Linked DNA regions of Alligator mississippiensis. The protein of the gene in region 1 interacts with the protein of each later gene in a pairwise test. Links are inferred from orthologs where the notes say so. Each region holds a gene or a part of one and is shown in the gene's direction. Other genes may lie near its edges. The genes, in order: TCEANC, CSRNP1, TARBP2 and SSNA1.

Region 1 (7,379 bases):
CCCCAGGCATGTCCCCAGCATGGCTGGATTTAGCTTCCTGGCATCCCTTGCAATGGCAGCTCACTCGGCCTGGCTGCTGCTGCCAGTTTCTCTGCTGCCACCACCACCAGACCTGGCCCTGCTGTCTGAGCACCCCTGCCCATCCACCCTGGCAGTCCATGAAAGGGCATGTTCAGCCGGGTGGATGGGATGGGGCCAAGGTCAAGCAGGGACCAGCATCTGAGAGTGGTTCAGATGAGGTGTTCAAGAATAAGAGCTCAATGAAATTTATCTTTTAAGAAGCAGAATTGCAAGAGAAGTAATTTCCTTACCTATAATTAAATAATATGGAAGTTGGTACATGTCTATTGCTATTCTCATTCTCATATCCTCTCAAATATATCCATGCCTAATGCTGCCATCAAAGCTCTGAACATGAGAAAAATAGTAATTTGAGGATTAAACATATTAATCCTTAAATATAATTTCAACAGAGATCTCATCAATAAAGGCCTTTCATGGAAACAAATATTCCTCCATCTTCCTACTCACACATTTTTCAGACAGAAGCAAATGTGACATTTCAGTTACCCAGCAGTTTATTCTGGATGATCTACTAGGTTTCTGTATAACAGTAATTTCATGTGTGACCATAAATAATGCAGCTGAACATTTTTTTCTGTGTACCTGTTTAGCCTAGCAACTTCATGTATGCACAAAATAAATAGAAAAGGCTGATCTCACTTCCTTGGATGAATTATCCTGAATAGCTTTTCGAATATTTACTATAACTATCATACTTAGTTTCCAAAATGGACAGAATCACAACCTATTTTAAGGTTTTATATTGGTGCTTACCTCTGGTATATCTATCTCCACTGTATAAAATCAGTATCAATAGTGAAGTCTTTGACAGTTCTCCGTTTTGGGGAAGGGGCTTGGAGTTTGATTTTTAGATTTTATTAATTCTTTTTTTCTCTCCTTTTGGTTGTTAGTTTGTTAGACGGTATGTCCCTACTGTCACTTTCACTCTTAAGGTAGAAAGGTCTTTTCAAAGGGAAATACTTTGCGGTGATTTTAATGAGACCATATTTACCCATTTGTCTCTGGAAGTGTTTCCTGTAGCTGAGTTGGTTCTATCTAAAAATAATACTGTGTCCCCAGCTTTCACCTGCTTTTGTGCTTTTCATTCCTCCAAGAGGATTAGGGCAATCATTGTGGCTTATAGAATAGACTTTGGACTTTAATGTATCTGAGACTTAATTTGTTAAAAACTTTTTTGTAAATTAGGACCAAGGCAGCCTAAGCTTCTTTACCAAACTTAAAGAAGGGCACTTTGTTCTCAAAGGCTCATCTAACATCTCTCTCAACTATACAGTTGGTCTAATAAAAGATATGAGCAATAAAACCTTGCTTCTCATATATTTCCTGGACCATCACAGCCACAACAAGACAGATGTGAATCTTTGCCTCAGTTAGCTCAGTGATGTTGACAACAAAATCTCTGAAATGCTATGAAATAATTGGAAAGTACAAGAATGTGAGGTGAAACCCAAGGAACAGTCCAAGCATCTGGTATTAATGTTAATGCGGTTTTTGGAGACATTGGTATGAATTGAAATTGTGAACAGTCTCTACTGTTGAGTGGTGGTGGTGATTAGCCTAAGGAAATACCATTTTGCTGATATCTCCGGTATCCCCTTCTTGACTGAAGGAGAGGATACTGGATGCAGGATAAGTTTCTGGGTGCAAGATCTGCCTGTGAGAATGTCATTGGTTCTATGTGTAAAATGCAATATTTTCATATTCAGCAGAATATTTCATTATAGCACTGCTACCTTTATCTTGTTATTTTACATGAAGTAGCACCCAAAATGGCTATGTTTTTTCATACACAGAGAATGAATGGCATAGTTATTGTTCCCAAGAACATGGGGTATCCTCAATATACCTTACTACCAGGGCTGCCCAAACAACAGAAAAATTAATATCCACTGAATATATTATTCAGTGATTTTAACCAGCATTTGATGAATAACATCTGCAAACAGTATTTGACTAGCCTTTGAATTTTTGAAATTCCCCAAAAGCTATTTGATAGATGGTTGTGACTGGATGAGTTGCCTGTCTTCCCTTCCGTTCATATCCCAACACCTCAGACCTTCTGGAAGACATCTCAACCTGTTATTTGTGAGACCAACTTTGGACAAGTAAGGTCTCTAATAAATTAGACATAAAAAGCTTCTGGAATACAGGAAATGTTCATCCTTTGCTTTTTCTTTCCCTTGCCAGCTGCATTAAGGCTAGTTAGGGAAGTCAATGCAGTGTGCATTTTTAACAAGAGTTCATGGGTTTACGATACTACAGCTCCCTCTGGTGATAACAAAATCCAGTTCTGTATTTTAAAATCTCAGACAGAGTTCTCTAAAGCAGGGATTGACAAACTTTTGCCACAGTGGGCCCTCTTCTTGGGTCCTGATTAGATTTGTCAGAAAATATACCCCAAATTGACTGAACTAGCAATAACTCCTCCTTTGTCACTACAAATATATTAAGAGGGGAGATTTTTGCAGTGGCTGGCAGGGATCATGCTGCAGCATAGCTGCTCTGGGAGCAGCATAGATCCTTGGGCAATTACCAAGCACCCTTGTCTTTGTGGGTGTCCCAGTATTTCAAGTTCAGAGGCAGAATTAAAGACATGTTCTTTTCAAAAACAGCCCCATTTCCTTCCCATTCAAATAAACTTTTAACTGCTTTTCTGGAGGAATTCTCCAGTAGAAAATTACGTGGTCCTTCAGGCACTTCATACTTCAGTGAACACATGACTCACCATTTGCTAACATATGAGCCATGACAGAATTTGACATACTTATTCTTCTTTGTCAAAGGAAGCATTTGAACTCCAGAGTCATGGCACAATTTAGAAGGCAGTAATTATGCTAATACCAGTCATGTTTTGTTTTTTGTTTTTTTTAATATTGCCTCTTACTTTAATAAAACATTGATGCAACAATTGGGGTGAGCTTTATCTTTTATACATTACTTTCATCCTAAAGTATCTTAGGACCTTTCACAAACTAAGTATATTTAGCAAAACTGAAATGGAGCCATCTCAGATACGGAGGGCTGTCTGTCCTTCTTGATCTTCTGTTTGTGTTAGGATTGCTCTAGGGTAAGTAGCATTTGATCCTGGTACATGTCTGGTATTACATGATGGTGCAGTTTTGAGTAGGGGGGCAGGTTTAGATGATAGCCATCCTTGTAAGCTGGTTATCCTGATCTCCAGAGAGCTTGGAGGGAGAATACTGTTCCCTTACCATGCACCTCTGTTGCTTTATCTTGATCTTTTGTCCTCAGTTATGAAATAGTCTCTATATTTCTTCTTCTGTCCTTGTTCTTGCTAGGTGGAAAAACTTGGTTTACCAGTAACCTGTGGCAACCAAAGTGAGAAGGGATGTTGACATTCACTCCATTCTCTTGCTCTAAAACTTTTGTGACATTCAGGACATGATACGAGGCCCATTTGTCTTTTTTGAGTGGAAGGAACATAATAAAGGCTAGTCATTTGCCTGTGGCAGAGTATTTGGGGTAATTGTTGACTACCTCTGATTTCCTGATTTTGGGAAAAGCTTTTGTCCTTTTCTTTGCATTTAAAAATAATGTTGTCATAGGTCCCTCATGATATTTACCTTCTTGCTGCTGTAATTTAAATAAACTAACACTTCAATTCTGAACACTATTTTAAACTTTACTTCATTGAACACAGTGTCCAGCCAAGTAGATTAATGGCAGTATATGTTAAATGTCTAGAAGTAGTGGGCATTTAACAGATGCTTCAATTAATTTACTTGGTAAACCTGATACACTAGAACAATAGGAAAATAGCGATTAGATATCCCCCAAATGTGTTTCCTTTGTATGTGGGGATGGCTGTGTTCACTTACAACATTTTCGTTTTTACTTACAGTACTAGATGTGACCTGAAGACGCTGATTGCCCATGTCATTTATAAAAAGTTGCTGTTTTAATTTGAAGGTTATTTTAATGGAGTGTATTTTATTAACTTGATTAAGTTCCAAGATAAATCATTTGCTGATAATGATAGAGAAACTTTAGACATTCCCTTTGCCTTGCTAACTGTTGTTTTCCTATGAGAACTTACTTCTATCTTCATAATGAAGAGATATTTTGATTAAATGGCATCCTCTTGTGAGGGTTTCTTTTATTTCACTTGGTAATAAATATCCCACTTGAATAAATGCATTTATTCTTCTGGGATCACATCAGCTGGGCTCTAGTTAATTTTTGTACATGTTTGTAAAATTCTGCTTTAACTTCTCTGTTTCTTCTGTTTAGCTTTGCTACATAGATTCTTTGGCAGCAGATGAGTTCTTTTTTACTGTTAATTAAATTCATATATCATCCTATGAAGAAAAGCTTCCAGAAAACATGCCTGTTTTGCTTTATGTGTAAGTAGCCTATCATTTAAACTCTTTAAGATTATAAGAAATCCTCATGTAGTTGTTCAAGACATTATATGTTACTTGTAATCCATGATCTGTTTTTATCTTTGGCTATTGCTATGATTTGTAAATTCTTAGACAGGCTTAATCTTGTAAATCCTGGATGAGTTTAGTTTTTTAGTCCTGCAAAAGTCATTGTGCACCTGGAAGATTCCAAAAACCTGTAAGTGTTTTTAAGTACTGCCTGGGTGCATGTACATATTAAAAGCACGAATATAGGATTTGTGCATTTTATAGCACGGAGCAGCATACTGCAGCCTGTATTTGCAGTTCTTGTAAAAAGGTTGGAAATGCTTATGTTTGGAAACGGAGGTGAGGATATTAGTGGGATCCTTGATGATCCTAAAGTACAGGACAAGGCATATTGAATTGGTAATGTAGCTAATGCCACATGTCCCGTGACCAGCAGTAAAGGTCACCAACTCTATCTGCTCTTCCAGCACCAACTGTTTGATCTATGGAAAACAGGAAACTCATCAAGTGTGATACTGGGCTCATTATGTTAACAAACAAAGATTCCTACTGTCTCAGACTGCATGCACTTCCAAACCAAACATGAGACTTATATGTGCAGTTCAACTAATGTAACTGAAAAATATATCTGGTCTTTTCTTCTGGAGGTTTTCAGAAGTATGCTTGAGAGTCCTTTCAGTTGTGGCTATACACATCAAAATCACAATTCATTTTAATCTAACATCGTGGGGGGCAGATTAGGTTGCTAGTAGAGGACATCTGTCAGTTTAGGAAGAAGACTGAGCTGTGGTTCACACTTATGAAAACAAAACCTAATAAATAATGTCTTGTTACATCCTGTAAGTTGTGGAGTTTGCAGGCTCAAAAGACAACATTGCATTGGTTTACAATAGTGGTTCCCAAACACTGACAGATTGTGTACCACCAGTTTAAATAGATACAACCTAAGTACTACCAGCAAATTTTTCAGTTCAACCTTTTGTTGCAAATTTTTGTCATATAAAGAAATTATAACAAATCTGCTAACGGGTACCACTGACAGGTTGTCTGAGTACCAGTGGTTATATGCATACCACATATTGGGAACTGCTAGTTTACATAATTTCACATTTAAAAGGTTCACATTTAGTTCACTTGCAGAAAATTATCTTTGTAACTCTACAAGTTGAAAAGTTCCATCAAGCGTATTGATGGGTTCCGTCTACAAAAATAGTTGAGCTTCTTGCTTTAGTTTTTCCCGGTGAACAGTTGTGTAGATTGTTAATAATTTGTATATTCACTTCAATCTACATTTTCCCTGGTGCTGTCTGCTTCAAGACTGTCTTTAACTCCCTCCACTTTATGAATGTGTACTCTGTGTGCCTACAGAGTTTTCTTTCATTCTGAAAAATGTCATGAGTTAGATCACAAGAGCCTTCACAGTAGATTTGTTCTGTCCAGCTGATCTTCAAAGTGAGTGTTTTTCAAAGTGAAAAACTAGAATGTATGCTCCAGGAGAAGTTCAGGCAATGTAGGCTGTTTTGGGAATATTTATGATGGTTAAAAGGGAGACTTGAACCAAAGGGAATGGCACTTGGGGGGAAAGATAAGAAAATCTGACCATCCCTCTTTCTTGTAGTTCTTGATGGTCATGTTTTCCATGTCTTTCTTTCCTCACATTTCCTCTAACCATTTGTCATCTCTGAGAGTCCTTCAGATGTCTCTCTTTGATTTCTCCCTCACTCTGTCTTCCCCAATCATTTTTTTCTCTCATTTTCAGCCCTTTCCCCGCTCCCAGCCTTTGAAAACAGCCTTTGAGAGCATGGAGGCTGATCAGGAGCATAAATCAGACTAGGAAGTGTGGTTTCTGCCTGCATAGGGCTGCAGAGTATGTGAATTCTATCAGAGGCATAATGAGCATGGCTTACGCCCTGGGTAAACCCTCCAAGAGAGCACATGGGAGTGGGGAACAGCGTGACCCTGGCTGTTGCTCTTACAGCAGCAGCATGGTGTCCACACACCCAGCTGCTGTTGCAAGAGTGATGTTGTACATGGGGCTGCTTCTCCTGCTGAGACTCCAAAGGGGTGGGGGTGATACTGGCACCCCTACTAATCTGTCACTCAGGGATGGTATCCCACTTGGTGTGCTGTACCTAGACTCCTGGAGGCCCCAGGCGAACTTTTAGTATTGGGCACCCCTTTGCCAGAAATAAGGGGTTTTTTTTGTTGCAAAAGTCTTTGATTTTCAGGCCCCCTTTCTGTCCAGGCCCCAGGCGGCCTCCCGGCTTGCCCATGCCTATGTCCAGCCCTGCCTACTTGCCCATCCCAAGTTGTGTTGCTGAATTCTATCAGTTCACCATTGACAGTGCTACAGCGAGAGACTTTGATTGAGGATGGAAGTATGTAACAGACCTAAGTTTCTTAAGGACTCATTGAAGTTACTGTCAGTCTCAGGTTTTTTCGGCTGGCCAGCATGAGAAGAGATACGTGGATAAAACACTACTTTTGGTACAATTGATCCCTGCAACTGTCTTTCTTTCACTAAACTTACAAGGGCAGGTGTGCACTTTAGACTATATTTCATCAAGTTTAAACTTATGATCAACATCAAAGCAGAGAAAATGTTAGTATTGCTAGTCTGCTGTACAGTTTTTCTAAGGACTCTGAATTTTGTCAGAAGATAATGAGAACCCCCCCCCCAGTCAAATCACATGACTGCATTCTTAATGCCCTTTATTTTTCATTTTGTTGCAAATAAGACCTCATGCAAGTTTGTCCTGTGAAAGCATTATGTCTGCAGCTTAATATGTAGCTAAGGTATTTTACAGAAAATACAAGGAAAGTCCTTTGTCTTAAAGAGCTTGCAAAAAGAACAGTCAGCAGTTATTAATATGTGAGTTACTATTCTGGAACCTATTATAACTG
Region 2 (7,657 bases), on another chromosome or scaffold:
GGCATTGGACAGAGCATGAGGGGGGTGAGATCTCCATAGAGATCAGCCCAGGATCCCTACATGCAAGGTGCACTCAGCTGGGCAGATGGGATGGGGCCACGGACGAGCAGAGAGTGGCATCTGGGAGCGGGACGGGCAACTGGAGCTGGGGCCAGGATTGTGGAGTGGTGACGGTGGGGCTGGGGGCCAAAGCAGAGCCACAATCCACTCCCTGCATGTTCATGCGTTGGGTGCCAGTTTCCCAGGCAGCGGCCGGCCCTTGCCCATGGAACTGGCACCCGTCACAGGGACATGCAAGGGGCGGATCACAGCTCTGTGCCTGGCCTTGCGCTGTCCCTGCTGTGTGATCCCAGCCCTGGACCTGCCTGCACATCCCACTCCTGAAAGCCGCTCCCTGTCCGCGATCCCGTCTGCCCAGCCAAGCATGCCCTGCCCATGGGGGCCCCAGGCCAATTTCCATGGAGACCTCACCTGCCCACTCTGTCTGGTGCACCCAGCAGTGGGTGCGTGGTGGACGGGCACCAGGTTTGGATAGAATCAATTGGCATCTCCCCGGTCCCTTGCCCACTGCATGGGGTGCTGTAAACAGCCATGAAGGGGGCCAAGGCTGAGTCAGCACTCCCCTCTCATCCCCACCACACCCTCTACAGCTCCCTAACATTCCTTAAGTGACCCTCCAGCCCAAACAATTGTCCACCCCAGTCTATACTTTTCTGCTTCTGGTGCAACATGAGTGCTCACCCGGTGCCCTTCTAGTGCCTTCACACACCTCACTGGGGAGCTGGGCTGCCAAAGTGCAGAGCACACCCTGGGAAGGCACCAGCTACTGAAGCGACCACAGAAGCTAAACGGTGCCAGGATGTCTGCACATGCTTTCTGCCAGCTGCCAGGCAGTAGCCAAAGTGTTACTCCAGGCAGCTGATGTGGTTTAACTCTGCTGGCAGACAGGAGGGCTCTGCCAGCCCAGAAGAGCTTTGAGTGTGGATGCAGGAGAACTCCACAAAGTTGGCGCAAAGTTATCATTTAGGGTCTGGCTGCCACAGGCACTTGTCTGCTGGATTGGATCCAGGCCTCACAGAGATTTACACCACCCTTGGCGGCCCATCCTATCTGGGACTGCCCAACACCCTTCCCCTAGTGACACTGCCTGCTGAAAAGCCTGACCTCTTCTCAACCTGCTTGCTCCTGTTGAAGCTTGCAAGCATTGGGCATTTAACAGCAGGGCTGAGCAATGCTGGAGGGCCAGTTTGACTTGCTCCCTCCATAAAAGGTTTCCAGCAAAGTCCACTGACAGCTTTCATTAACCCTGAAGTCACAAGAAGAGGCTGAAGGTTTGGGTGGCGAACTCCCCCATCTCCTACCCTAAATGCTGCACTGTGGTGAAAACGTGTGGTGCACAGCCTGGCATAGCAGTCGATGTTTGCCCGCTCTTGAGAGATATGACTGGCATCAGGCTTGTGACTGGCATCAGGCTCAGTTCTCTTTGAAACAGAGCAGCCCCCCTTGCTTCTTTCTTTTGCTTTTAGGAGTCTTCCAGATAAGGTACCTCAAGCAAAAAAAAAAAAAAACAATAAACAAAAAAAAAAGAGGAAAAACAGCATTACTGAAACTCCCCTACTCCATCCCATTACACCATAAAAAGGAGCTCCCAGTGTTATTCTTTAACCAGTTTTACTCTGGTTTAATGGCATGACCCTTGGTTTTGGATTACTGAGTCTCCCAAACACCAGACATTCAGCTCTGGGCTTCATCCCCCAGCCCTTGGCATGGGGAGTGTGAGTGCTGTGTGACTTATGGGGTCTTTCCAAACAGGAGGAAAAGAGGGCTTTAGTTGGGCTATGCAGCCCCATGTCCTTCTCTGTCATCCAGGCCCTTTTTCCAGCCCTCCTTGTCATTACCTTCCTCCTTCCACCCCTGAAGCAGCTGCATTTCCTGGGTGGTTCATCGAAGTCAATTCTAAAAGCCTTGCTGCAGTCAGCATTGAGCTGGTGATCCTCAAACACCAACTTTGCTGCACCAGATGATGCTCTTGACTCCCAAAACAAATGCTTTTCTCCCAGCTTGGCAACAGCGGTGACTGGAGGAAATGCTACACGGACACACCGACCTCAAGAAAACGAACGCCAACGTCACGATTTAAGAAGCCACCGACTCCAGCAGCTCGGCTGCCCCAGCCAAGCAGCTGCCTGTCTCTACTGGCCACAAACTCCTAGAAGGCCAATTGAGATTTTACATAAGGAAAAACTTCTTCATCTTCTGGGTGTCCAGGGTCTGGAACAGACTCCCCTGGAGGGAGGTCAAGCACCTACTCTGGACTCATTCAAAAGGCGTCTGGATGTTTATCTTGTGGGGATCACTTGATCCCTGCAGACTCGATGGACTGGACTCGATGATCTTGCGAGGTCCCTTCCAGTCCCTAGTGTCTATGAGTCCACAAAATAAAGCGTCTCTCCCTCAAAGCATCAAGTGTAGTGGCTTCTTAACCTGGCAGGGGAAATACCACGTATCTGTGTCCAAGAAGCGGTTTTCCTGAACCGACTTGCAGGAGAACTCCCCTGGTGTGGTTCGGTACCCGCTGAGATGCAGCGGCTTTAAATCCAGTTTATGGAAATGGGAGTCTCCTTCCTTGCTTGCTCTGAGGGCCTTACGGTGAGGGCAAGCAAAACTCGGGGGCATCTGAACCCCAAACCTCCGGGCTTGGGCCTGCATGCAGGATGCCTACCAAAGGTTTTGGAAACATCTGAAGCCCCAGGTGAGGGTGGAGGATGTTTGCCAGTAGTAGGGCCACTCAAGGCCATCCCTGGGGGGCGCAAATCAGGGGGACAGCCCCAGGCCCTGTGGTTTGGGGGGCCACGTGGAGCTGGGTGGAGTGCCTGTGGCAACTCTGCGCTGCTGCCACCGGCTTTGCATCTGGCTGCTCGCTGCCCTCCCCCGCCGGCTTCTTTGCATCCAGGGATCGGGATGGGGGTGGGCCCTGCACAAACTGGTTTGCCCTGAGCCCTCCACACCCTGCTTGGGTCGGCTCAGGGGCCGCTTACGGTTCTGGACTCTTGGATTTGGAATCAGTTTTGGCTAACTTGGCCTTGGACACAAATTATATATATCTATACACATACACACACACACACACACACACACACACACACACACAGACAACATTTTGAGTTACAACCTTTTGCACTTACAACGTTTATACATTGGCACCCTGTTTCACCTTTCTGACGTCTGTTTTGACTTTACAATGCTTGATCCAATGGCACACCACGCCAGCGAACAAGTTTGCTGCGTCCCCTATCTCTCATCTGTCCAAACTTCCTTGGACACTTTCTTTAAGAAAGCAGACAAGACTCCAGAAAAACCTGAAGCCACAACTCCTGAGAAGACTCCAGCCAAGAGGCCTTCAAAAAGTCCAGCAAAGTCTCCTCAAAGAAGTCCTTCCAAATCAATAGGATTCCTATTTACAATATAAACACATTAATGTAGCTATATTACTTACCTATAACTGATTGACTACAAAATTCTGTGTTATTTTTGGTGAAAATAGGGTATCTGGCCTTGGTTCAGGAACCAATCCTCCATTAATAACATTGTTTCCTATGGGAAAATCAGTTCTGAGTTACAATGTTTCGACTTAAGAGGCAGTTCTGTGTCCTGAGTCTGAGGACTGCCTGTATATATATACATATATATGTATACACACACACATATATATATATATATATATATATATACAGGCAGTCCTCACACTCACGATATATATGTGTGCATCTCCCTGGAAGCAGAGAGGAGAGAGCAGAGGAGGAGAAAGAAAAGAAACCCCTGTGTGTGTGTGTGTGTGTGTGTCCCTGGAAGCAGAGGAGAGCAGAGGAAGGGAAAGGAGAAGAAATGTGTGTGTGTGTGTGTGTGTGTGTGTGTGTGTGTGTGTGTGTGTGTGTGTGTGTGTGTGTGTGTAAGCAGAGGAGAGCGGAGGAGGGAAGGGAGAAGAAACCCCTATATATATGTGTGTGTGTGTGTGTGTGTGTGTGTGTGTGTGTGTGTGTGTGTGTGTGTCTCCCTGGAAGCAGAGAAGAGCAGAGGAAGGGAAAGGAGAAGAAACGTGTGTGTGTGTGTGTGTGTGTGTGTGTGTGTGTGTGTGTGTGTGTGTGTGTGTGTGTGTGTGTGTAAGCAGAGGAGAGCGGAGGAGGGAAGGGAGAAGAAACCCCTATATATATGTGTGTGTGTGTGTGTGTGTGTGTCTCCCTGGAAGCAGAGAAGAGCAGAGGAAGGGAAAGGAGAAGAAACGTGTGTGTGTGTGTGTGTGTGTGTGTGTGTAAGCAGAGGAGAGCAGAGGAGGGAAGGGAGAAGAAACCCCCGCTCTCCCCCGCTCGCTGAGCTGAAGTCGCCCCCCGCCGCGAGCCAGAGCAGGCTAAGCCCAAGCCGCGCCAGGCCGTGCGCTCCCATTTCGCAGGCGGGCAAGCTGAGGCCGGCGGGCTGGGCTGGGCCGGGCGGCGCTGCGCGGGCTCCAGGCGCCTCCCCCGGAGGCCGAGCGCCGCGGCGGGGCCGGGGAGGAGCAGGATGCGCGGGGCTGTCACCGCCTGCGTCAGCCCGGAGTTTTCCCGTGACGGCGGCGGCGGCGGCGGCGGGGGCGGAGGCGGGGCGGGGCGCAGCGCGGAGCCCGCAGAGCCAGGCGCGGGCGCTCAGACCTGCCGCAGCCGCGCGCGGTGCGAGCTGAGCCGCGCTCCGTCCCGGTAGGTGCGGGGTCTGGGGTCCGGGGTCCGGGCTGCGGGGCGGGGACGGGACAGGTGCGAGCCTGCTGGGGAAGGCTGCGGCTGCGGGTGCGGGAGCCGAGGCGATGCCCGGGCTGTGCCTCTCCTCTCCCCTCGGAGAACAAACGGGAAGGACCATGCCGCGGGTGGGAGCGGACGAGGAGTTTCCTAGGCCGAGCGCACTTCGCGCTGTCCGTGCCGGCAGCGCCGGGACTCGCACCTCCTTTGTACGCGGTGTTGCTGGGCGCTGTGCGCGTGCGGCCGTGGCCCTTTCCGAGAAAGCAGGGGTGTGTGGAGGGCAAATGGCAAACCCATCTTCTGGCGCGCCCGGGGCTGGGGGCGGGGGCCGGCGCGCGCTGCCTAAATCCTCCTGCTCCCGATGTACTTCCCCGGCTCCGTCACTGCCACAGGCATAAACTTTTGACGCTCCAGACTGACTCAGGCTTTTATTCGGTGGCACTGAATAATTCAGCTTTTGCCATCGCCTGGTAGGCAAGAGTCTATTTTTACCCAGAGGGAGGTTATGAAACCTTAAACCCGGCTGAGTTAAAATGATCTAGTCTGAACGGGAAAGCCTGGCTTCGGTTTCTTGGGAAGCTGCGGGCAAGCCGACTGCGCCTGGCTGTACGCTTCCCCGTCTATATCGAGGCTGGCTCTTTTTATGGGCGCTTTCCCAGAAATCGTAAATCAAAATCGGTTGTAAGGGTGAAGAATATCACAGTGGCATTATGGAAACCACTTGAGTAAATACTCAGCTTATTAAAAGAGCTTGAATGACTGCGCAGCGAACCAGGGGCAGAGTAATGATTATTAAATAATCGAAAGGCTGCAGCGAAAGCGTCCTGTGAGGGTGTCAGGGAGCGCAATGAAAAGCAGTGCTCTACACTAAATTTCTGCTAATGCGAGATACCAAGGTCATCTGACCTTCAGTAAACAGCAGCATGTAGATGAGTGCCACCTAGTCTGAAAAGAGACGGTAACAATTGCACTTTCGTTCTCCAGCCTTGCTCCAGGAGTGTTTTCAGTCATGCCTGACTAAAATGTGTGTGGTTGTTTTTAAACTAATATTTACTCCTGTCAGACCTGCACAGCTACCATCGCTCGGGGGAAGTGAGTTGGATCCTAATCTGACTCATGAACAGAATTGGTAACTAATTTTCAGCCAGAAAATCTTCACAGGCAGAAGGAATCCACCCTGATTCCCATGTTTGAGGCTGATGTTATTGGGGAGGGGGGCTCATCTTTTTTTTTTGCTTGCGAAGTGTGCAGACTTTGACAGAAAGCTTTCTACAAGAAGATCTTTAAAGTCCATTACATTTTACAAAGCTGCTTTTCAGAATAAAGTTGGCTTCCCATTACTTCTGCACCAATTCTGCATTTATCCAGGCTCTGGCATCCTCCCAACATAAGACTAAATTTTAAAATACCCCTGTCGGTGGATAAACACTGCAGGAGAGGGTTTCTGGAGCGCGGGGCCAGTTTACGGCCACCGAGATTAGCAGATGCCGAAATTACAACTACTGGCTTGAACATCAGAAGTTTCTGAGTTTTTATGCCCGTGGCTGCTGCAGTGCCCCCTGCTTCATACACAGTGTAGCCGTGTGTGATGGCCTCAAAAGTATCATGTAAATAATTTCCTCTCCAGCAACAAAAAGGAACAGTGAGTTGCATATACAGCCCTAATGTTTCAATGTGAAGTTTGTTATAAATAGACTAAACTAGCCCTGGTACTGTTTTTGGTTGCTTTCCTCTTTGGCTGGCTAGACAAATGCCAAACCTTCTTAAATCGAAATGACTCGAAATATTCACTGTTGACATGTCGCCCAGGAGTAGGGTAGTTACACTGGAATGCAAGGAATTAATGTTTTATTAGGGCTTCACCCTGCAACTTGCTGAGAGCCAGGAATAGGATTTAGCAGACTGCAGTTTGCTTCCCCCTCCCCACTAGATATAACCCCCTCTCCTCCCTCCTCCCCAAGTTTGATGTTTTAAAGAGAGAGAGAGGGAGGAATGCACATCTGGGCTAAATATTTGTTAGAAAGTATTCCCAGGATAGTGGGAGTTGTGATGCCAGAGAGGAATTCCTGTGGGTTTGATCCATTGCATTATGTACTTGTTCAAAAAGCTGTTTTCAGTAAAATAGATGAGTAAGAAGTTGTAGCCAAGAACAGAATGTCTTTTTGGCAGTGAAAGGAAGATGGGATTATTTTATTTCAGGTTATATTTTTTAAAAAAAGGTAAAACCCCTCCCATAGCATACAGGACTTGCAGACTTTGTAACTGCAATTTTAGAAGCTTTTTTTTCCCCCCCAAGCTGCTGTTTGCAGTTTCTATGGCTTCATCTTAAATCCCTATCTACGTCCTGTGCAGAAAAGAGAATTGTGGAATCACAGCAATTAAAATATCCTCACCGGTTATGAATTGGTTTTCTAGTTTTATTGGCTGAGCAGCCAGTGTTTTATGAGAGAGAAATTTTCGAGGCACTATTCAATCCATTAGCCCAAATCCTGCTCTCAGATGCTTGGGGGTGTTGTGGAAAGGATGACCGTCCTCTCAGTTGAACACTTTTCAGTAGGGGAGACAGTATTGGTACAGTTCATGCAAAGGTTTTGAAAACGGTACCTGGGAAATGTTCCAACTCAAAATCATGAAAAGAGGAGGCGGGTGGGGGGTGGGGGAGAAGGGGGTTAGAATTAATGTGTAATGGGTGGAGGGAGCAGTTCACTAAAAGCTTTTTCCCATTAATTGAGAATCGTGTTTGCACGAACTCTACTTATGAATTGACAACGCAATAAATATTTCAAATAACTTTGTCACCCCTTAGTATCTCCCCCCTCCACACACACACATTTTTAGCTCATTTCATCTGCACGGAGAGCAGTGGCAGATAATTTTCCTTCTTCCGTTGGAAG
Region 3 (6,917 bases), on another chromosome or scaffold:
CCTCAGCAGGGGCTCACGGCCGCTTGGCTTCACCATCCGCTGATGTCTCCTGCGCTGGCAGTGGAGCTTCTGGGAAGGCAAGGCGAGGGGTTAGGGAGACCCATGTGCTGGAGGGCTGGCACAGCCCCTCCCCCCACGCCTCCAGCAGGTCACCATCCTAGGGGAAACCGAGGCATGGAGAGACCTTGCCCACAGCCTCGAAGCAGGTTGGCAGCCCAGCCAGGCATGGACCCCAGGAGTCCTGGCTCCCTGCTCCCTTCCTGGCCATGGGGTTGGAGACAGCTAAGCGTGTCCCGGGGGCAGCTATGCCCAGGGGGGAGGGTTGCAGGGCCCCCCAGTTCCCAAGACTGGGTCAGAAACCAGCTGGTCCAGGGCCCACGCCTGGGGCCTACCTCCCCACTCCTTGGCGCTAGGGCCTGGGGGGGTCCCAGGCTGAGCACGGAGTGGCACCATCTCCTCCAGGCTGCGCAGCACCGTCATGGTGCCCCGGGCCGGCGCGGCCCGGGCCCGAGCTGGCTCCAGCACCCTGCAGGAGGGGGCATGTCAGCTGGGCATAGGGTACAAAGCTCTGGGGTGCCCCATGCCCCCCCCCTTGTCCGAGGGGTCAGGAGCTCAAGACAGGGCTCTTCTCCCTTCTCTGGGCATGCCCAGACCAGCTGGCTCCTGGGGGTTGCCACTGGATGCCTCGCAGCCCTCCTATACCCCACCTTGCCCACAGCTGCCCACTTGGGGACCCCCCTCCTCCAGCCCAGTTCTCACCTGTCGGGCGACGCGACGCCTGTGTGGCTGAGGGACCGCCGTACCTGTGGAGACAGCAGGAGCCCATCAGCACCCTGGACCAGAGCCAATGGGAGGTGGAAGCTGCCCAGCCCCCGGTTCGAATCCAGGCCCCACCCCCAGACCCTCCTCAATAGCTGCTGGGAGACTTCTGTCCTGCAGGGCAGGTAGAGAGACCTCCATAACTCCCCCAGACGCCCAGGAAGCAAAGCATGCTGGGTAACCAGGTGGGCCACTGCTTGGCCCAGTACCCACAAGGGCTGTGCCCCAACTGCACCCTGCTCCCAGCAGCCCAGCACCCCCGACTACCCCCGGGGGGGCTGCTCTTACCCTGTGGGAGTGCGGGAGCTTGGTACCCACGAAGTCAGAGGGCAGGGGGGCGGGCGAGGGCGGGTACAGCTCGGGGGCCAGGCGGGCATTGGCGAACTTCATACACTCCTCCAGCGTGGACAGGAACTGGCTGCAGGTGGCGCGGAGCAGGGAGGAGGCTTCGTTCATCCTCTGGAGGACAGAGCTCATCACAGAGAGGAACCCGACCCCCCAACCCAGCCTCTCGTTCACAGGGAAACTGAGGCACAGGGCAGGGGAGCCTGCTTGCCTCAGGTAACTGCTTCCAAGAGCAAAGGAGGGATAGATGCCACCCGCCCCCCGCCAAACTCCTGCTTTAGCCACTATACTCCACTCCCCTGCCAGACACTGCTTAGGTGGTTGGACCTAGCCTCTGCCAGCACCCCGACAGAGCAAGTGGCGGCAGGTACGCTGCCCCCACCCCTCTCCCCCCGGGCACCTCGACATCCAGCGGGGCGCCGTCGTCTCGGGGCCGCGTGGACTCCTGCATGTCCAGCACCTGCTGGGTCAGCGCGTCACAGTACAGCCGCAGCTCTGACAGCTTCCGGCCCAGCGACTCGGTGCTCAGGGGCGGGTCTGGAAGGTGATGGACACAGTGAGCCTGGCCCCTGCCCCCTCCCGCAGAGCGTGTAGGGGCAGAGATGCACCCACTTCTGGGGTGGAACATTCCAACCTGTAGCAATGGGTGCATTACAGGAGGGGACGGGAAGTGGGTAGAAATGGTCCTGGGGAGGGCCGGGGAGGGGGGCAGCTCAGCCCCACATTGAGGAAAGTGGAAGGGGCTCATCAGACATCAATGATGGAGCTTGCAGCACAATGCCCCCTGCTGCTGCGCTGCGGTACTGCAGCCAGGCACCCCCAACCCCCTTTGCCCCATACTGCAGCCCCCCCCCAAAAAGACCCAAGGGGGAGGCACCAAGTGCGTGTCCCCACCCTGCCTCAGTTTCCCCCTGTGCTATTCCAGCCCGGCCCTACCTTTCTCCTTCTGGCCCCTGCTGTCTCCCAGGCAGGCCTTGGAGCTGCCCAGGGCCACCAGCCACTTCTGCCGCTCAGCAGCGCCTCCCGCCTTCAGGTAGAAGTACTGCTCGCCGGGGATGGTCAGCTCCATGCGCGTGGCGTCCGTGGGGTGCACTGCGGGGCACAAGGCGGCACCGGGGGTCAGGGCTCCCGTCCCAGTGCCGACAGGCGGCTCAAGCAAGGGACAGGACGGGATGCCTGGGGCCCCGCGCGGCCTCCAGACCCAGCTCAGCACTTCTGCACTCCGGGTGCGGCTGGGTCTGGGGGGGAACGTGGCAGCCCGAGGAGACCCCGTGCCATGACGGTCCCCTCCTGCAGTGGGAATGGCTGGAGCAGGGGCAGGGGGGGGGGGTCCCCAGGCTTGCACCCACCTTTGATCTCGCAGACGGCCATCTTGATGCTGCCCTTGCTGCCTTTGCCCACGTCGTCCTGCGAGTCATAGTAGGACAGGATGCCGTTGTCCAGCACGAAGTACCGCGGCTGCCAGCCTGGGGGAGGAAGGAGGCAGAGGAGGGTCGTGCCCCGGTGCAGGGAGCCCAGGCGCCTCCTCGCTACCTGGGGGGCAGCCCCAGTCCCACGGGGGACCCCGGCCCCGAGGTCACACCCCGCTGGGGAAGGAGCACCGGAGCCCCGCCTGGTTTCTGGGTGGGGGCAGGGCTCAAAGGTCAGGGGTCAGCTGTCCTGGTGCCGCTGGGGGTAGTGGGGTAGAAGTCAAAGCTCAGGGAAGAGGAGGGGGCAAGCAGGACAACTGCAGGGGGGGTAGTAGGGCTCAAAAGGTCACAGGTCAGGACTGGTTGGGGGCATTGTGTTCTGATCGGGGTCAAAGGTCAGCAGAGTACTATAGCCTCGCTCCCTTCCAGGGACCGGGGTCAAGGGTCAAAGGTCAGGGCCGCCTGGGGGATGTTGCGGAGGGCGGGGCAGAGGTCAAAGGGCGGGGGCAGGCGCGGGGGCTGCCGGGACGGCGGCGGTACCGGACAGGTAGTTGGTCCATTTCAAGAGCGCTCCCTCCATCGCAGGCGCAGGACGCGGCCCAGGCGCCGCCGCGCGCCCGGCCAATCCCCGCGCGGGGAGGGGGCGGGCCCCACTGCTGCCGGCCAATGAGAAGGGCGGCAGGCGCAGGGGGCGAGGCCCGAAGGGGTACGCACCCAATCAGCGGGCCAAGCCGGGCACCAGGAGGCAAGAGCAGGGGGCGGGGAAGAGTGGTCGCGCGCAGCCAATGGCAAGGCTCCGCCTCCATCGCCCCGCCCCTTGCACGCAAAGACCTGTGGGAGGCGTAGTCCCGACCCCATTCGGCTCTCTCGAGAAAGCCGCAATCCCGACATCCTCCGGCCGCGCGGGGCATTGTGGGCAACGCAGTCCTCCCAGCAGGCCCCACGGCGCGCGGGGGGTTGTGGGTAGGGAAGTCCCGCGGCCCCGGAGCCTGCCGTTCCCAGGATCCACCGGGGCGGCGCGCGCGGAGCTCTCTGGGTAGCGCAGTCGCACGTGCTCCTCAGCCAAGCCGCGCGGGGCATGCCGGGAGCGCAGCCCAACGTTCCCTCAGGCTGAGCGGAACTCCCGCTCCCAGGATGCCCCGCGGCCGCGCAAAGAAGCCCCTGTAGAGCTCCCCCCTCCCCCCCAGCCAATGGTCGCGCGGCCCTCCCCGTCCCAGCATGCCGCGCGGCGGCGGGCTCGGGCGCGGGGCATGCCGGGCAGGCGAGTCCACCCGGCGCGAGGAGGCCTCGCTGTCCCAGCCTGCCCCGCGCTCGCCCCCGCCAGGGCCCCCGCAGCCATTGCGGCGGCGGCGCGCGCTGGCGGGGGCGGCGGCGGGGCCGGCGGGGTGCGGGGCAGGCACGGCGGCGCGGGCGGGGCCGGCGGGGGGAATGAGCGAGGGCGAGGAGGAGGAGGAGCCCCGCGCCACCGCCAGCGGCGCCTGCCCCAGGTACGGGGGCGGGGCCTAGCCTCGGGGGCGGGGCTTCCTCCGAGGCGGGGCCTCACGTGGGCGGGGCGTCATCGGGGGCGGGGCCTGGGCTGCTCCCGGGATGAGGTTGCCGGGGCTTCTTCCGGGGGGCGGAGCTTCTCTGGAGGGGCGGGGCTTCTCTGGGGGGCGTGACTGCATCCACGATGAAGGCAAGGCTTTCCAAGGGGGCGGGGTCAGAACATGGGGGCGGGGCTTAACTCTTGGTGGGGGGCGGGGAGCACAGTGGGGCAGCCCCCTTGCTCTGCTGGGGCAGGATCGGGCCTCCCCTGGGGCTGCTGGGGTGGGGGAGGATCTTGCCCCCGGCCGACCCCTCCGCGCCCCGCAGCCTAGAGCAGATGCTGGCCTCCAACCCGGGGAAGACGCCCATCAGCCTCCTGCAGGAGTATGGGACGCGCATAGGCAAGACGCCCGTGTACGACCTGCTGAAGGCGGAGGGGCAGGCGCACCAGCCCAACTTCACCTTCCGCGTCACCGTGGGCGACATTGGCTGCACCGGTCAGTGCCCCCCCCACCCCGCCTGGCGGGGTCCGGCTGGGACCCCGGTGTCCCGGTGCCGGCCCCGCTCCAGCTCTGTGCCCCCCGCAGGTCAGGGCCCCAGCAAGAAGGCAGCCAAGCACAAGGCGGCGGAGGTGGCCCTCAAGCTCCTGAAAGGGGGGAACATGCTGGAGCCGGCGGTGCCGGAGGAGCCCAGGTGAGGGGTCTGCGGGGGGGCGGGGGCTGCTCTGACCCCCCCCTCCCAGCACCTTCCACCCAGCCGGGGGGGAGGGGGGGAGGAAGATCAGGGGGTCTTGGGGAGGGGCAAGAAGCCGACCGTCCAGGACACCTGGGTCTCTGCCCCCAGGGGGCAGCTCGGGTGGGTCCTTTCTCTGCCCCGTGCCTCGCTTTCCCCAGCTGCGGTGCTGGGACGTGGGGGTGGAGGAGCTGGGCAGAGTCCCGGGTGCCAGCGGGCTTTGCCTCAGCCCGTACTCCTAGCACCAGGGTGGGTCGGGGTGGGGTCCTGGTGCCATCGCGCCAGGTGAGGGCAAGCTGTGGGGGGGCAGGGGTCGCCGCCTGCTTTAATGATTGTACCTTTTATTTTCGAAGCTCTGCTTTCTCCCTAGAGCCCCTCCCCCCGCTGGACCCTGCCGTGGCCCCCCCCGCGCCCGCCCTGCCCGCTGCCTCGCCCAGGTAAGGGCTGCCCTGGGGTTGGCACTGAGCCCCTCCGCACTCTCAGGGGTGGAGTAAGGGCGTTGCAGGGACTAAACCTGCCCCCCCCCAGCTCCACGGGGCCGGGTCTCCCCCCCACTACTACTTGGGCTTCCTTGGGTCTGTCATAGGGGCTCATCCCCCACCCCTGCAGCAGCCCCTTGCCGGGATCGGGGTGAAGGGCCTGCCCGGGCAGGTTGGGCCCCTTCAGCGCCTGCCCTTGTCTCGCTCAGAAGCTCCCCGCTGGAGATGAAGGCACCCGTGTCACCCCAGCAGTCCGAGTGTAACCCTGTGGGTGCCTTGCAGGTAGGCTGGGGGGGAGGCTGCTGGGGTTCCTCATCCCCTTGGGCTCCTTGTTCCAGCCTGGCCTAGGCAATGTCTCCTACCTGGATGGAGTATGGTCTCTCAGGTGGAGCTGGAGGACAGGAGGTCTTTGTGCTTCAGTTTGCCCTACCTGCTCTGCTTGGAGGCCGGTGGGGCTGGGGGAGTCCCAGGGAGGGGCCCACTTACCCCACCCACATCCCTGCCCCCAGGAGCTGGTGGTGCAGAAGGGCTGGCGCCTGCCCGAGTACACGGTGACGCAGGAGTCGGGGCCGGCGCACCGCAAGGAGTTCACCATGACCTGCCGCGTCGAGCGCTTCATGGAGATCGGTAACCCCAGGCAGGGGGGCGGGGGCCGGCTTGGCCTCAGACCAGTGACACGCAGCCCCTGGTGTTAACAGAGCTCACCAGGGGCCTGTGGGCACTGACCCCATGCCCTCCTGCTGCCCCTCACTTCCGACCCACAGCCCCCCCAGCCCTGGCGGTGACCCTCACTCCTGACCCGCTGCCCTCTGCCCCCACCGGCCCTGCTGGTGCCCTTCCCTCCTGACCTGCAGCCCCTGACACCCCCCTGCCAATGCCCCTTACTCTTCACTCCCAAACTGCAGCCTCCTGCCTCTGCCAGTGCCCCTCATTCACCACCCACAGCCCCTTGCTCCTCCCTCCCCACAGCTCCCTGCCCCCCAGCCCTGCCGATGCCCCTCACTCCGGCCTTCTCTGCGCGCTGTACCAGAGTTAACCCTGCATTGCCAGGTGCGCAGCAGCGACATTATACCCCACCTTCCTCAACCTTGCAGGGAGCGGCACCTCCAAGAAGCTGGCCAAGAGGAACGCAGCCGCCAAGATGCTGGTGCGGATCCACAATGTGCCCATGGAGCAGCGCGAGGGCAGTGAGGCCGAAGCCGAGGACGACCAGTTCTCCATCGTGAGTGCAGGGCTGGGGTGCATGGGGTAGTGGGTGGGGATGGGCATGCAGCTCACACTCCCCTCTTTCTACCTGTGCCAGGCGCCAGTGCCCAAGCTGGACGGGCTACGTGGCCGCCTACCCGGCTGCACCTGGGACTCCCTGCGCAACTCAGTGGGCGAGAAGATCCTGCACCTGCGCAGCCAGCCGCTGGGCGCTCTCAGCCCCGGGTACTGCGGGCTGCTGCAGGAGCTGTCCGAGGAGCAGAGCTTTGCCATCAGCTACCTGGACATTGGTGAGGTTTCCCCCCTGCACCCTCCCAGCCCCAACCCCAGGACCCTTTCTTCCCTCCCACCAACCCCCTCTGGGCTGTGTCTCCATCCCTGCCCCTAGCACTAGCTCCTGGGT
Region 4 (7,242 bases), on another chromosome or scaffold:
TGGAGAGATAGCTCTCACCCCTCAAGTAAAGAGAGGAGGGCTAGATTTTCAGCAAAGGGACTATCTGGAGCTTGTATAAAGTTGATATAAAAAATAAAAAGCCAGAGGTTTTAAACAGAATAGGAATCCCTGAACCTTTCCAGAGTTCAGGATCCACTTTTGCTTGCTGTTTTATATCCAGGGATCCTGGTTTTCCCCAATAAAAAAACCTGCAAATTGTCTGATAAAAAACCCGCAAAATTTCTTATTAAAACTCCATGATTAAAATGAAAGGGCACTAATAGAGAGAGAGAGAGAGAGAGCGAGAGAGAGGTATCAGTTGAACACAATACTTTCTTGATAATATTTATCATTTAAAGGAATTTGGAAGCCTACCTGTGCCTCAATCATTATAATTAAATAAGTTCTAAACACCTATAAATTTTGGTATTTGATTTTGGGTTATCATGGAAAATCAGAGCTCCCTCTGCCCCCTTAGCTCACAGAACACAGGTCCAGGTCCCTCACTCCCAAGCCACAGCCCCCCCAGCCCTGCTGGTGCTCCTCAATGCTCACCCACAGCCCGCTGGACCTTGCCAGTGCCCCTCACTCCTCCGCACAGCTCCCCCAGCCCTGCTGGTGTCCCTCACCCCCCACCCACAGCCCCCTGCCCCCCTAGCCATACCAGAGTGGGCCCCCAGCTGGCAGGGTTACAGGGCCAGGGGTCCAGGTCCGCAGCGCTCTGCCCCTTGCAGCAGCTCCACAGCCCCAGCTGCCACCCACAGGAGGTGGCAGCTGCTGCAGCGGAGTGAAGCGGAGCACACCCCCTCCCCTGCCAGCTGTGGGCTTGGGTGGGGCCAGCTACCCATCGCTGCGCTCACTCGTGCCCCCTGATCTGTGCATGGCGCAGGGATGGGCTGCCTGCTGCGGGCTTGGGCTCCCCACCCTACTGCCCCCCCCCAGGCTCTCCGCAGCCCAGCAGGTGTGACCCAGTGTGGCAAAAAAGAGCGGGGCTACACACGGAAGCTCACTGCTGCTGCAAGCTCTGGGCTGCCCTGGCAAGGCACCCCCTGCCTGCATGGCAGCAACGAGGGCAGTGGTGTAGGGTTGTACCCCTCTTTGCTGCCATGTGGGCAGGGGATGCCTTGCCAGGGCAGTGTGGAGCTCTCAGCAGCAACGAACTTCCCCACGAGGCCCTGCTCTGCCCTGCCCTGCCCTGCTGGATCACACCCACCAGGCTGTGGAGGTCCCAGGGGAGGGCAGCAGGGTGGGGAACCCAAGCCCACAGCAGGCAGCCCGCCCCTGCCCAAATCCCCTACCCTGAGCACAGATCTGGGGGGTATGGGAGCCTCCTGTCTTGCAAGGAGCGCGCACAGTGGTGGGGAGCTGGCCCCACCCCCTGAACGAAGTGCCCACAGGCCCTGTCCCGCTTCTCGCCAGGGCCCTGAAGCTGCGCGTTCTGACCCCAGGCCACACACCCCACACACCCTCCTGGCTGGGCAACAGCTTCAGCCCCAGCCTCACCCCCACCCAACTCCCCCCTTCCCTATGGGGGCTTCAATCCCCCTCCGCTCTTCCCTGCCCCTGCTGCTGCCAGACCTACCTGCAGAGCAGCTCTCCAGGCTGCCTGGTGGCCATGTGTGTATACATACACATGACACCCCCTGCCTGAGCACCCTCCTGCTGCTCCCCCCAGCCCCTTGCAGGCTGGAACTCTACCAGCCTGCAGAGAGCTCTTTGCAAAAGTGCAAAATCTGTGGGTTTCTCCATTAAAATGAAAAATCCATGTTTTCCTTGGGTAAAGGGGGAAACTGCATTTTTCTGTTTTTCCATGGGAAACGGAAAACCCGGATCCCTGGTTATATTCACACGAGCTCTCCAGTTGCTTGTAATATCCTCTAGCTAACACACTGCAGATAAGAACTGCTTTCTAATGGAAAAACAAGCAAATATTTTCTAAACTCCTGTTCAGGCCTTATGTAGTGCCTCTTACATATCATCCTTAAGGTCCCAACAGAAGCATTAACGAGGCCACACTACACACGCAGGGTATGTGTGCACTATTTAGTACCTTGAAATTTGGCCAACTTCTTCAAGATCTTTAGTAGGCAAACGTGGACCCTTCTGGATCCCAGTGTATGCGCAAGAGGTCACAAGGACCTTCAATGCATTTGGCTACAAGTATGGAGAAGTGGGGGGGTGCCCAGACCTTCTATTCCCCCTTTAGCCCATTGAGACAGTATCCAAAGGCCAGACAGTATGGACATTTGGTGCCTCGACAGCTGTAGTTATAGGTGCATCCAAGAATCAAATCCAGGTCTCTCATGTGGCAGACAAGGATTCAACCACTGAACCACAACAGCAGGTTCAAGATCTTTAGCATCTGGGGAAAAGAAAATATTTCGCCTAGAATCATTGTCCCCAAAGGGAATACAAGCCTAAAGGGAGGTGATAATCTCACAGCAGTTACCAGGACCACTCTCCTGTTTGTCAAAGATCTGCTGTAGCTCAGCCACAGGTTATGGGCTAGATGCAGAAATCACTGGGCAAGATTTTCTGGACAATGCCTTGCAAGAAGCAGACTAGGTTAGGATGGACCTTTCTGACTTTCATACCCATGACAGGCCTGTAGACAGTCTACTTTCTAAATGGTATATTGATTCTGTCCAACAAATCCCTTTCCTCCCTCCCTCCAGGATACATACAGGATCTCACTGAGCTGCTGAAATTGCTCCATGGCTGTGGGACACCAGCACTGGTCTTTCTTACTGTTGCAGCCTGCACACTGCTGGCTGTCTCCTCCTCCCTCTTCTGTATCACTCTCTTGATCATTTTCACTCATACTGCTCTCACACTCATTCATTCCATCTTCTCCTTTCTTCCACTGCTGCATATATATCCTGAAGGTGCGGCTGTAGAACTGCTGGATCATCTCCTGGAAGGTCTTTGTAGTGGAGAAGAAGAGGATGGCTTTAAACATGGTGTACACTTTCTCTCGTAGCATCTGGGAACCCGTTCCAAGGAGCAAGCCTGCTTTGGTCCATTTTTCCAGAAGATCTAGACTGTTTAGATAAGGGTCTAGGCGGCACTTGAGCAGACAAAAAGCATCCAGGAGGAGTAAGGAGCACTGGGGCTCCTCAGCTGTGTTTTCATACTGGCCAATGCAGTTCCAGAATTCAGGAGCTATATTTGTCTGAAGATCTGTCTGTAAAACTTGAATGAACCATTCCTCTATGACACAGTGCAAGTCATAGCTCCGCAGCACTTCCAAAGCGGCCTGCAAGTCGCTGTCCTTCAGCGGTTCCACTGGTCCAGACCTGGGTGCTGCCTAGAGAGAGACACCAAGGTAAACGAAAGCAGGGACTCCTGAAGGGTGACTGAGGCTGGAGAGACAACCGGACTCAGGGGGCAGTCTACAGATGGAGCCACTCACCAGCCGACCCTTTGCTCTTGTCCACAGTAGGGCATAGCAGGGACTGAAAGCTACCAACTAACTGGCATCCGGCATCCCTCCTGGGCAGAGGGGCGGAGGTCTCAGCCCCACTCCTAATGGGTCGCTGTTCACATCACAAGGGCGACTGCTGTTGTGGTATTAATGCCGACTGCATCCCCAGCTGACATGGGAGCCGTGACCCGAACGGGCCCCGCTCCATCCCCTCTGCGGGTCACGGGCCACTGCCAGGCTCTCTCCAGCCTGAGCCAGCACACGAGGATGTCCTGCGCCAGGGCCGTCAGGGCGAGGCCTTCCACGGCATCGCTGCACTTCGAGGGCGATTACAGAGCACAAGGAGTGGGGCACCCTCCTTACGTACCCGTGAGCAGGAGGCCGGAACGGCGGCCACGTCGGAGACGACCGCGCGCGCACCTGCTACGCGCCCCCCTCGCGCCCCCGCGGAAATCCCGTGACAAATGTCAACGCTGGGAGCTGTGACTTGCCGCAAGGGGCCTTTTCCTAAGACATCCCCAGGCCCCAAGAGACTGCGCCCCCCCGCCCCCTCGAGGCCTGCGGGCCCGCTCGCCCCTCTCTGGGAGCCGGGGCATCGCCCCACAGCCGCCCGGCGGGGCTCAAAACAAAACCCCCGAGACCAGGCGCGGGGAAGGAGCGGGGCTGCGCTCCGCCGCCCCCCGGCCCGCACTCACCAGCCCCAGCGCGGCGGGCGGCACGAGGCCGGCGCCCAGCGCGTGCCAGCCCGCCGAGAGCCCCGCGCCGGGGGCCGCCGCCGCCATGGGCCGAGCGGAGCGGGGCGGGACGGGGCGGGGCGGCGCGGGCGCAGGAGGCCGTTGGTGGCGCGGGGCCGGGGCCGGGGCCGGGGCGGCGATGGCGCAGCAGGGGGCGGCGCTGCAGAGCTACAACAACGAGCTGGTCAAGTGTGAGGGCCGGGTGCGGGGCTGGGGCTGGGGCCGGGGCGCGGCGCGGCGGTGGCGGGGGCCGCGGGCGCTGAGCGCCGTGCCCCCCGTGTGGCGCAGGCATCGAGGAGCTGTGCGCGCGGCGGGACGAGCTGGGCCGGCAGATCGCGCGCGAGGAGGAGGAGAAGGGCAAGCTGCAGAGCGACATCCGGCTGCTGACCGAGCGCCTGGCCCGCCTCAACGAGGGGCTGGCCCGCAAGATGGCCACGCGCAACGAGTTCGAGCGCACCATCGCCGAGACCGAGGCGGCCTACGGCAAGGTAGCGCCTCGGCCCCGCGGGGCGCGGGAAACCGCCCTGAGCCGGCTGCAAACACGCCTCCTCCTGCAGAAGCGGCACCTGGGGACTTTCCCTTTGCAGCCCGCCCCGCACGCCGGGGTCCCGGCCTGGGGAGAGGGCGCCGGGTCGGGACGGGCCACTGATGTTTACAAATGGGGCCTGGTACAAAAAAGGTTGAGAAGCACCGTGATATTCTGGGGGGGCTGCAGCATGTAGTTTTGGGGCCCCCCCATCCGTGGGAAAATCACAGCTGCGGTAGAAACTGGCTGAAATGAAATGGGCCGGGCTGCGAGGTGGGTGCGGGGGGCTGGGGCGGGAGTGGGGCTGGGCGGGGAAGGGGCTCCCTGCCTGCATGGAGCCCTTTCAGGGTGGCGCAGGCGGCAAGCGGGCACGGCCCCTTGGCCGCAGGGTAGGACAGGCCGGCCTGGAGAGCCGCTGCTCTAGAGTAGTGCGGGGCCAACCTTTCTTATGCCGCAGATTAGCCCCGTGCCCTCCCTGGGTGTCACTGATCCCCTTTCCCTGCCCTATCTGCAGCTCTGCCTTCTGCTCCCTGCCCTTTGCTCCCAGTGCCCAGTCTCTTCCTCTGCTTTCAGCCAGCTCTCTGCTTTGTGATCCCAGTCTGATCTGCTCCCTGCTCCATCTACTGCTGTGCTGCCTGACCCCTCCGCCGGCACAGGCCGCACAAAGGATGCCCATGCAACTTGCAGTACTCGTGCCGTAGGTTGGCCACCCCCGCTGTAGATAGCCATAATTCGGCACACTGTCAAGAAGAGCTGGCAGCAGCAAGTGTAGCTGTGCATCCCTTCTTTAGCCTTGTGCACCAAATGGCTCAGTCAGCTAAAGGGTACTTGGGCATCTTGTAATGGACAGGGCTTAGAGGAGGATCTTGTGAGCTCACCCTAGGGAGTGCTGTCTCACAACTGTGAATGTAGAGAGTCAATTCTTGAAGACCCACAGTTACCAGGAATTAATGGTTCTGTCTAGCCCAGGGTACAAGCATGGATCATGGTCAATAATAAGGGTTGTGAAGGAAATCAAAATAGTGGAGGAAGAAGAAACTTGAACTTGTCTTCACTGCTGTGGGATTTTGTGCTGGGGTCTGTCTTTCTCTCTATGTTTGCCTCGCCCCTCTCCCAGTGGCCTTCCAGGCACGACTCTTAGTAGCTTACCCATTCTTAATCTCTTATCTCCTCTGAGCCTTCCCCTCTTTAGATGAGGACTACTGATCATAGTGACCTTCACTGTGCTCAAGGCAGCATTATGGCTTCAGAGAGCATTTGCTGCTGATTGTCCTAGATCAGTGTTTCTCACTCTGTTGGTTGTGACCCAAAAGTTGGTCACAAGACTATATAAAAGGGTTGTGAACAAACTTTAAAAATTGATCAACAAACTTAAAAAATGGATTCTCTTTTAGAGGAGAAAAACGTGGAAAACCGAGGCTCTTCCCTTGCAGACTGGCAGAGTTCCAGCTTCCAAGGGGCTACTTAGGGGCCCCCATGCCCCACGTACTGGGGGCCTGGGGGTGGGGGGCAGTGGGTTGGGCCTGGCCATTGATGTTTACAAATGGGTCCTTGTCCAAAAAAGGTAGAGAACCACTGTCCTAGATCACAAGGGACAAAGAGCTTTGGGAGGAGTAAGCTCTGTGTTGTCCCCAGGGGAACCCTTAAGGCTGTTGCGTTGTCATGGCAGAAGCGCTGCCTTGCATTGTTTCTCCAGTGTTGCCATGTTTGAGTTATGGGAAGACTGGAAGGGTGTGAAAAGCTCATGGCACTTGCAGTTGTCACGGCACAATCATGTTGTGGCTTGTGTGTGAACTGTGCTTTAGTCCCTTAGTACTTAGTGTATGAGTGTAACGAATGGAGCTTGGAAAAACTATGTAGCAGGGCAAGGAGACATTTCCCTTTCCAGATATGTGGGTTGTGGGGCAAAGAGGATAGTGTCTGCAGAAAGTGGGTCAAGCAGGTACTGCTACTCTGGCAGGAAGGAGGGATAAGTAAACTGCAAAATCCCATGGGGGTCCAAGACCCATGCAGCTGCCAGATACAAGTTTATTTATGTAGAAATTAAAAAACAGGTCTCACTGGCAAGCCATGAAAGAGCATTCGTTATTGGCCATTAGGCCTGTGTGAAGTGGCCAGCATTCGCTTCGGATTTGGCCAATTCGGGGGACAGTGTTTCGATTTGGTGATTTGAATCACTGTCCCGAATTGATTTGCCCGAAATCGATTCAGAGATTTGGCTCCTGTCAAATCTCTGAATGGCCCAGGCCCATCCCCTGTCCGCTCTCCCAGCCCACCCCAGCTCCCGGCATTTTGAAAAAAAAGAAGCCCCGACTCAGCAGGTGCTGCCAGTTGGGGAAGCAATCCCCACTGCTCCCCACTGCCCCGTGGGGGGCTCTGCACGAAACCTCTGCCCCCCTTTGCCCCCCAGCTTCCCTGTGGCTGCTCTACTCGCTGTGGTTCTGGCCCTTTAAGAAGAAAAAAAAAAATGAGAAAAACCCCAGACTCACCTTCCTGCTGGCGGGGCAATCCCTGCTGCCCTATGCCACGTGGGGGGGCTCTTCCAAGGAGATTTGGAG

Evidence for each region.
Region 2: the proteins of TCEANC (region 1) and CSRNP1 interact in binary tests that used the Homo sapiens proteins (3 or more experiments, as listed by UniProt). The two-hybrid records come from large-scale screens. The link is inferred for Alligator mississippiensis from reciprocal best matches to the Homo sapiens genes TCEANC and CSRNP1.
Region 3: the proteins of TCEANC (region 1) and TARBP2 interact in binary tests that used the Homo sapiens proteins (3 or more experiments, as listed by UniProt). The two-hybrid records come from large-scale screens. The link is inferred for Alligator mississippiensis from reciprocal best matches to the Homo sapiens genes TCEANC and TARBP2.
Region 4: the proteins of TCEANC (region 1) and SSNA1 interact in binary tests that used the Homo sapiens proteins (3 or more experiments, as listed by UniProt). The two-hybrid records come from large-scale screens. The link is inferred for Alligator mississippiensis from reciprocal best matches to the Homo sapiens genes TCEANC and SSNA1.

The regions. Positions count from the first base shown.
Region 1 is NC_081824.1:324,616,340-324,623,718, reverse strand, and holds the start of TCEANC (transcription elongation factor A N-terminal and central domain-containing protein), read left to right. Parts: upstream 1-4,361; 5' UTR 4,362-4,448; intron 4,449-7,379.
Region 2 is NC_081828.1:209,389,876-209,397,532, reverse strand, and holds the start of CSRNP1 (cysteine/serine-rich nuclear protein 1), read left to right. Parts: upstream 1-4,643; 5' UTR 4,644-4,727; intron 4,728-7,657. UniProt on the Homo sapiens protein: Binds to the consensus sequence 5'-AGAGTG-3' and has transcriptional activator activity. May have a tumor-suppressor function. May play a role in apoptosis.
Region 3 is NC_081838.1:8,695,215-8,702,131, reverse strand, and holds the start of TARBP2 (RISC-loading complex subunit TARBP2), read left to right. Parts: upstream 1-3,907; 5' UTR 3,908-4,001; coding exon 4,002-4,060; intron 4,061-4,424; coding exon 4,425-4,594; intron 4,595-4,684; coding exon 4,685-4,790; intron 4,791-5,182; coding exon 5,183-5,266; intron 5,267-5,415; coding exon 5,416-5,590; intron 5,591-5,817; coding exon 5,818-5,935; intron 5,936-6,402; coding exon 6,403-6,530; intron 6,531-6,611; coding exon 6,612-6,804; intron 6,805-6,917. Other genes in the region: pleckstrin homology domain-containing family A member 3, read right to left, coding at 14-69, 393-526, 760-803, 1,108-1,278, 1,565-1,701, 2,101-2,256, 2,514-2,630, 3,114-3,153. UniProt on the Homo sapiens protein: Required for formation of the RNA induced silencing complex (RISC). Component of the RISC loading complex (RLC), also known as the micro-RNA (miRNA) loading complex (miRLC), which is composed of DICER1, AGO2 and TARBP2.
Region 4 is NC_081835.1:47,569,349-47,576,590, forward strand, and holds the start of SSNA1 (microtubule nucleation factor SSNA1), read left to right. Parts: upstream 1-4,242; 5' UTR 4,243-4,297; coding exon 4,298-4,349; intron 4,350-4,446; coding exon 4,447-4,646; intron 4,647-7,242. Other genes in the region: ANAPC2 (anaphase-promoting complex subunit 2), read right to left, coding at 2,685-3,307, 4,120-4,206. UniProt on the Homo sapiens protein: Microtubule-binding protein which stabilizes dynamic microtubules by slowing growth and shrinkage at both plus and minus ends and serves as a sensor of microtubule damage, protecting microtubules from the microtubule-severing enzyme SPAST.